2 linked regions of the Cricetulus griseus genome follow. The main gene of each other region encodes a partner of the protein of the gene in region 2 in a complex. Links are inferred from orthologs where the notes say so. Each region holds a gene or a part of one and is shown on either strand. Other genes may lie near its edges.

Region 1 (3,562 bases), on a different chromosome or scaffold from region 2:
TAGTTCAGGCTAGCCTCAAATAGTTCAGGCTGGCTTGGAGCTTTTGATTCTCCTACTTACAGGGTATTTGGATTATAGGCCTGCGTCACCATACCAGACACAACTTTGCTTTTTAAAGTACAAGAAGAAGGGTAGGATGGGTGGTGGTAAGAAGCAAGATAGGATGAGAAGTGTTCAGGGACTACATAATGATAATGTCAGGGCTGTGCTGTTAAATCACCAGTGCTGAGAAATTATGGCAAGTACCATATTTAGCATTTTATTTATTTTGACTTTTTGAGACAGGGTCTGCCTGTTCTTTAGCTGTGAAGAGACACCATGACCCCTGCAACTCTTATAAAAGAAAGCAGTTAATTAGGGGCTTGCTCATAGTTTCAGTGGTTTAGTCTATCATCATCACGACAGGGAGCATGGCTGTGCACAGGCAAACATGGTGCTGGAGAAGTAGCTGAGAGTTCCACATCTGGATCTGAAGGCATTAGAAAGAGGGAACCATTGGGTTTGGCTTGGACCTTTGAAACCTCAGAGGTTAAGAGCACTGCCTGATATTTTAGAGGTCCTGAGCACAGTTCCCAGCAACCACATGGTAGTTCACAGCCATCTGTAATGAGATCCGGTGCCCTCTTCTGGCATGCAGGCAGAGCACTGTATATGTAATAAATAACTCTAAAAATAAATAAATAAATAAATAAATAAATAAATAAGGAGAGAAAAAGCAAAACAAAGAAGAAACAATTTCAGAGGTGAAAATAATTTAAAAAAAAAAAAAGGAAAAAGAAACCTCAAGACACACTTCCTCCAACAAGGCCACACCTCCTAATCCTTTTTAAGTAGTGCTACCCCCTGATGACTAAGCATTTAAATATATAAGCCCATGGGAGCCATTATTAAAACTACCACATTCCATTTCCTGGCCCCCTTAGGTTTATAGCCATATCACAATGCAAAAATGCATTGAGTCCAACTTCAGATGTCTCCATAGTCTATCATAGTATCAGCACTATTTAAAAGTTCAGTTTCTCTTGAGACTCATGACATTCTCTAATTGTAACCCCCTGTATAATCAAAATAAAAAAGCAAATAACCAACTTCCAACATACAATGACACAAAATATATATTACCATTCCAAAAGGGAGCACAGTGAAGAGATAGTCTGGACCAAACCAAGACCTAAAACTGGCAGGGCAAACTCCAAACTCTGTATGTCCATGTCTCATGTCAAAGAACTCTTCAGATCTCCCACTCCTTTCAGTTTTATTGACTGCCATATACTTTTAGCTCCTGAGCTGGTTCCACACCCCTTATGCAGCTTTTCTTGGCAGGTATCCCATGACTCTGGCATCTCCAACATCTTGGGGTCTCCAAAATAGGGTCTTTCCTGGGACTCTCTTATGTGGACCAGGCTGGCTTTACAGAGATCCACCTGCCTCTACCTCTGGAGTGGTGGGATTACCTCAATGGCAATATTTAGCATTTCAAAAGGCCACTGGCTATCACATGAATGAATCTGGGAAGGATAAGAGTAGGGGCAGGGTGACCAGAATCCCTAGTCCTGGAACAAGTAGGCATTCTGTTTAATCTAGTGAATGAGAGGACCCAATTCTGGAGCCTTTTTCTTTTGTTTAGAATCACTAGATGCCAGGTTTTCTACTAAGTTTTTCTTCCTTGACTGTGTCTTCTCTTGTCCTTTGGAGGTCTGGGAGGGGTTGAATGTTGTGAAGACAGGCCGGGTGATGCTTGGAGAGACCAACCCTGCAGACTCTAAACCTGGGACCATTCGAGGAGACTTTTGCATCCAAGTTGGCAGGTAAGAATTGGTGTTTTTCACTTTTTTCCAAAATCCAAGTTAGTTGCTACAAGAATTTGGGCCTCTGAGGCTAGAAATGGACATGATAGCATCTGCAGGTCAATTTATTTTTATTTTAAAGATTATTTATTTATTTATTTATTTAGGTTTTTTCGAGACAGGGTTTCTCTTTGTAGCTTTGGAGCCTATCATGGCACTCACTCTGGAGACCAGGCTGGCCTCGATCTCACAGAGATCCACCTGCCTCTGCCTCCCAAGTGCTGGGATTAAAGGCGTGCGCCACCAATGCCCAGCAAGATTATTTATTTATTATGTATATAGTGTTTTGCCTACATGTATGCCTGCAGGCCAGAAGAGGGCACCCAGCCTCATAGTGGTTGTAAGCCACTATGTGATTGCTGGGAGTTGAACTCAGGACCCCTGGAAGATCAGTCAGTGCTTTTAATCACCGAGTCATCTTTCTAGCCCCCTATTTATTTTATTTTAGCTTTTAAAGATTTATTTATTTATTATGTACGCAGTGTTCTGCCCGCATGTATGTCTGCACACCAGAAAAGGGCACCAGATCTCATTACAGTTGGTTGTGAGCCACCATGTGGTTGCTGGGAACTGAACTCAGGACCTCTGGAAGAGCAGCCAGTGCTCTTAAACCTCTGAGCCATCTCTCCAGCCCTATTTTAGCCTTAAAGCTTATTTTATTTTTTACTTGTTCTTCATGTATATGGACAGTTTTTTTTGTCTGTATATTTCTTGGTGCCCAAGGAGGCTAGAACAAGGCATTGGATCCCCCAGAAATGGAGTTACAGATAGTTGTGAGCCTCATGTGGATGGTGGGAACTAAACCCAGATTCTCTGGAGGACTAGCCAGTGCTCTTAAAGGCATCTCCTCTGCCCCTATTTTAGTTGTTTTGTTTGTTTGGTTGCCTTTGATAGTTTGAGATAGGATTTCTCTGTGTAGCCTTGGCTGTCCTGGAACTAGCTGTTGGCCTTGAACTCACAGAGTTCTGTCTGCTTCTGCCTCCCAAGTGCTGGGATTAAATAAAAGCATGTGCTGCCGCCACTACCACCAGGCAAGTTTAGCTGCTTTTGAGACAATGTCTTAAGTATGCTAGCTGGCCTCAAAATTGCTATCCTTGAATTCCTGATAGTCTTTTCTTTCTCCCTCCTTCCTTCCTTCCTTCTTTCCTTCCTTCCTTTCTCCCTTCCTTCCTTCCTTCCTTCCTTCCATCCTTCCTTCCTTCCTTTTCTTCCTCTTTCCCTCCCTCCCCCTCTCTCTCTCTCTCTTTCTTTCTTTCTTTCTTTCTTTCTTTCTTTCTTTCTTTCTTTCTCTTTCCTTTCTTTTTCTTTTTTCTTTCTCTTTCCCTCCCTCCTTTCCTCCCTCCCTCCCTCCCTTTCTTCCTTTCTCTTTCCTTTTTCTTTTTTCTTTCTGTCTCTTCCTCTCCTCCCCTCCTCCCCTTCCTTCCTTCCTTCCTTCCTTTCTTTCTTTCTTTCTTTCTTTCTTTCTTTCTTTCTTTCTTTCTTTTTTTTTTTTTTTTTGAGACAGGGTTTCTCTGTGTAGCCCTGGCTGTCTTGGAACTTGATCTATAGACCAGGCTGGCCTTGAACTCAGAGATTCTCCTGCCTCTGCTTCCTGAGTGCTGGGATTAAATGTGTGAGCCATCACTTCTTGGCTCAGGTCACTTTTAAATGGGAGTTTTGTCTTCTGCCTCTGAAGGTGGAGGCTGACTTGGAGGGTCCCCTGTGTTTGCTTGTCT
Region 2 (4,354 bases):
ACCCCGAGAATGCCAGGCACCCTGGGGCTGGGTCTCCCGCCGGCCTAGCAGTGCAAATGGCGAGGACAGACAGGGGTCTGCAGGTCCGAGCAGGTCGAGGGCCCCTGGCCCGCCGCGCTCTCTTCAGACCCGATCCCCAGGCCGGCGCCGCCGGGCTTCTGCTGCGCCTGTGCGCGCCCGGATCCCCTCCGCTGGGGCACCCGGGTCCCCGCCGAGTCGGGTCCGCGGCCGCCGTGGGGGAGGGGCGGGCCGCCGGCGCCCCGGGAAACATGGCTGCTCGTCCTAGTTCAGCGGCGTCGCGGCCACCAGTCCCCGAGATGCGACTTGGGAGAGAGGTAGCAGAAGGTGGGTGCGTGGGGGATACTCTGGGGAGGGAGGTTCCCCGGAACGATCTGCTTTCCAAAAACGTTTATTTGAAAAAACAAAAAACCAGAAAAACAACAACAAAAAAAGCCAGTTCCTCCTCCCCCACCCCTTTTGTCCCTCTTTCGAGAGCTTTCTGCCCTCCCCTCCCCCATGTGCAGCAAGTGCCCCCTCCCCCGCCACCCGCGCGCCCCACCCCGCCAGGAGCCCCGGGGCCGGCGAGTGGGCCGGGGACTCGAGGCGAGGGGGCGAAGCGTGAGAAATCGCGCCCAGCCCGGAGCGCCCGCCCCTCCCCCAGTGCACACACTCGGGGAAGTTTAAAGAGCCGGTTCGACCCGCTTTCTGATTCGCTCCGGGTTGGCTAGTACTGTGGGTCTCTCGGCCCGGCCCGGCCCGGCGCTTATGCGCACTTACTCGCCGAGACCCCGAAGCCCCCCAACTACATACAGGGGTCTTCCGGAAAGTACGCGGGAAGCCCGCCTTCGGCCCCCTCCCCCAGCACCACACCCAGCCCCCTCCACCTCCGGGATCGGGCACCGGGGCTGGGTCGGGACGCCACCGGCCGTGCCCCGCGGCAGGACTTGCTGCCGGCGGCGCCCCCTCCTCTCCGCCCTGCGCGCCATAAGGCTGTAGCACGTCTCCAGTGCACAACTGCGTGAGGATGGGCGGACGGCAGAAAGGAGCTTGTTTTCAAAAGTCTTACTCAGGTTTGGAGGGAGGAACTAGGGGAAAAGAGGAAACGAGGCCTGCCTTTGTCAGGATTCGAGGGGCCAAGTGGCTGGCGGGGCGACAGGGTCAGTGCAACGTGCTGCGCGAGCCCCCCAACTCGCCCGAACCCCGAACACCCAGGCTGGACCTAGAGGATCTTCCCGCCCGCGAGCCCCTTCTCCTCACGACCGGACCTTGAAGGGAAGCCGGCCGGGGTTTCCACCCCAGAGCTTAGGGTCTCTCGGATGGACCAACTCGCAGACAACACGAGTGTGTGAAAGCGAGAGGGAGACAAAAATAAACAGTAGCGTTCGAGTCACCCACCCACCCTCACTTCCCATTGCAGTGGGCTAGCGCCCAGCCTGCCTATTCCCACCGGTGTAAGTTTCCTCCTGCCATACTCCCGCCGCTACCCAATCCATAACGGCTACGGCCAGACGAACTGCCCATTCCAGAGCTGCGTGCCAGCCGTGCCCGCAAGAATGTAGACCCGGCCGGTCCCCAAAGCAGCACCAGCTCTGGGCACCTCGGGTCCTGATAAAGTTTCCCGTGCCCATTTATTAATCAGGCGCCGAATGGCTGCCAGGGAGCCCACCCCGGGAGAAGCAGGGACCCGGAGGTGGGGTAACTGGTGCCGTTGGGGTATCAGGGTGCCAAGGCTTGCATCTGGGGAGGTAGCCGGGGGCCAGAGGCTCACCGGGACGCAGCCTTTGGGCAACTTACACTAGCGATCGCTCGTGGTTGGGGAGGCGTGAGGATTATCTGAGCATTTGCACACTCCACAATCCCTCCCCCTCCTTCTAAGGTAACCCCCCCCCTTTCCGCGAAGAAGAAGGGAGAAAAGACAGCATCTGGCCCAAAGGTGGGGTGGAAAGAGTGAGAGAGAAAGGAGAAGAAGGAAGGCAGGCAGAGAAAGAGAGGGAGGGAGAGAAAGGGCGCGTTCACGAACACGACAAAGTTACAAATATGGCTCCCCACCTCTCGCCTCATCCCCGCAGAGAAACGAAGACGCGCTTTAAACTCGAGCCATCTCCCAACTCCGCAGCAGCCGGGTCCCCACGCGCTGTCCCCGGGGGCCTCGGGCCACATTGATCAGAAACTAAACCGGACTCGCGATTCCCAAAACTTATTGTGTGCGAGAGAACCAGCGAGCGAAAGAGACGGCAAAGGGAGGGGGCAGGCGCGAGAGGGGGCGGAAAGGGGGGTACGTTTCTAAAATATAACACCCCCTTTTTGTTGTTTAATCCAGGAGGCAGCCCATCTTCTCCTCCCCTCAATCATCTTTTCCATCCAGACGCGAGTCGTGGGAGCTGAGAGCTCGGACGAGGGTGAGATCGCAGCGTTCCCTCCGACCCGAACGCGTGCGCCCCGCCGGCCCCCCGCTGGGTGCACATTCGTACGCACACCCTCGCACCCATACCCGCACACGCGGGAGCACACGCACAGGTAGTCAGTCACACACCAAGGGCAGCGGCAGCGGTGGCCAGAACATGCTCCGATGGCATTGCAACCCCCCCCCCATCCAACCTTGCAATTCATTTGCAGTCCAACCCTAAACCCTACACCTCCTCGGAGCCCACCTCCATAAAAAAGTGCCTTCCCCCCCAAAACACACGCACACATAACACAAAGTAGGAGAATGGACCGACAGAGATATTTTTGGCAAATGCTCACATCAGAGGGCGTCCTGTTCCGCAGCTCTAAATGAATCCGTTTGTCCATATCCATCTCTCGCGCTCTCTCTCTCTGCAGAGGATCCTGCGCCAGCGGAATTCAATCAATAAACCCCGAACCCACGGCCGCGCGTTTTAGGACTTTGAAGGCTCAACCAGCTCCGCTCGGTTCTCGAGCCCCCAGCACCCGCGGCGCACACTAACCTGATCGCCGTGGAGGCGGAACCTACGGCTCCGGCGTGGAGTGGCGGCAGCACGAACCAATCGAGTGGCGAGGCTTCTGATGCCAGCCAATAGTGGTGGCGGCGGCGGGGGGCAGGGTCCAATGGGCGGCCTGCGCAGCGGGCCAGGGAGGCTCAGCCATTTGGCTGTGGTGCCGGAGACGGACCCCTTTAGATACCCGGGCGACCGAGGAGGAGCGCGGCTGCCGCTTTGGTGGCTGCGCGCGGGGGGCGGGAGGGAAGGCAGGGCAGGTGCGTGGACCTGAAGGTTCGTGGCCGGGGCGGGGCCGCAGGTGCGTGGACGCGGGAGGGGCGGGGTCCTCACGGGGGCATCCTCTGGGTGCTTAGCGGGCAGACGAGGCCTGGGGCGCGCGGGCGCAGGGCAGGCCTAGGGAGGGCGTGCGTTCTGGGGGCGCACGAAGGACAGATCACACCCCGGGCTGCCTGCTCGACGCATCCCTTCGGACTAGATCTTCTCCCATCCCGCAATTAAATAAGCAAGTCTAAGCGCATGATGTTCCTACCGTCTGAGGAGCGAGGGCGGGATCTCGACCCAGAAGCTTGGCATTCTGATCTCCTGCCAGGGCAGCCTTACAAGAGGCGATTCCCCGAGAGCCACTGGAGATCTTGTGTAGGGCAATAAATGAATGAAAAGGCTGCGGATGCAGAGCTGTATACAATATTAGGAAATGCGAAAGGTGCTAGTAACTGCCGATTCGCAGAGCCGAACATAATTTACGGGTTTTATAGGTTTTGTTGAGAGCGTCGCACGATTTCTTTCTCATCGTCCACCAGTCGTTTGGTTAGATCTGAGTTGCCAAGGAGTCGCTAACTGTAGCATTTATCCAGGTGTTTCGGTTGCTTTGGGTTTTGTTTTTGTTCGAGCAAGTTACGTTTTTAATAGACCTTAAAAGCCCCGGTTCCCACTGGGTTATCAGCTTCTTATGAGCCACCCTGGGACCTCATGTACAGCGTGGATATCTGTGGCTGTGGACAAATCACGGGGATGACTGTCAACAGGGACTCATGTTTAACTTCATCCACACAACTATCATAGTATCCTTTTCTCTTGTTTCTTCTTCCTCTATCGTAAACACCCCAAGGTAGTTTTATCTTTTTCGCATACATTGGAACTGAGCATTTTATTCAGTAAATTCTTTTAGATCAAATAATAGTTGAACTTGGAAGCCGATAAATGTTTATTCTAAGTAACTGGAAGTACAAAATAAAAACATGACATCTGGGTGAATATGGCATAATTTCTTTAAGTTGTCCATTTAACATATCCTTAGATTTTGTTAATTTTTATGAAGGCCGTGTAACTGGAATTTTTCAATTGTATTGGTTCCTTTTTAAAACACAGGGGACTGCAAATTACCTCTTTGCCAT

The links. Proteins that work in one complex are often made in the same cells at the same time.
Region 1: Anp32a (region 2) and nucleoside diphosphate kinase A share a complex: the UniProt entries of both Homo sapiens proteins name them as parts of the SET complex. The link is inferred for Cricetulus griseus from reciprocal best matches to the Homo sapiens genes ANP32A and NME1.

What each region holds. Positions count from the first base shown.
Region 1 is NC_048600.1:106,872,400-106,875,961, reverse strand, and holds part of nucleoside diphosphate kinase A, read left to right. Parts: intron 1-1,695; coding exon 1,696-1,808; intron 1,809-3,562. UniProt on the Homo sapiens protein: Major role in the synthesis of nucleoside triphosphates other than ATP. The ATP gamma phosphate is transferred to the NDP beta phosphate via a ping-pong mechanism, using a phosphorylated active-site intermediate.
Region 2 is NC_048597.1:173,857,896-173,862,249, reverse strand, and holds the start of Anp32a (acidic leucine-rich nuclear phosphoprotein 32 family member A), read right to left. Parts: upstream 2,824-4,354; 5' UTR 2,800-2,823; coding exon 2,746-2,799; intron 2,518-2,745; coding exon of another isoform or gene 2,321-2,517; intron 2,203-2,320; coding exon of another isoform or gene 2,070-2,202; intron 1,452-2,069; exon of another isoform or gene 357-1,451; intron 346-356; coding exon of another isoform or gene 57-345; exon of another isoform or gene 1-56. Other genes in the region: uncharacterized protein LOC113835543, read left to right, coding at 57-345, 2,070-2,202, 2,321-2,517, 2,824-2,855. UniProt on the Homo sapiens protein: Multifunctional protein that is involved in the regulation of many processes including tumor suppression, apoptosis, cell cycle progression or transcription. Promotes apoptosis by favouring the activation of caspase-9/CASP9 and allowing apoptosome formation.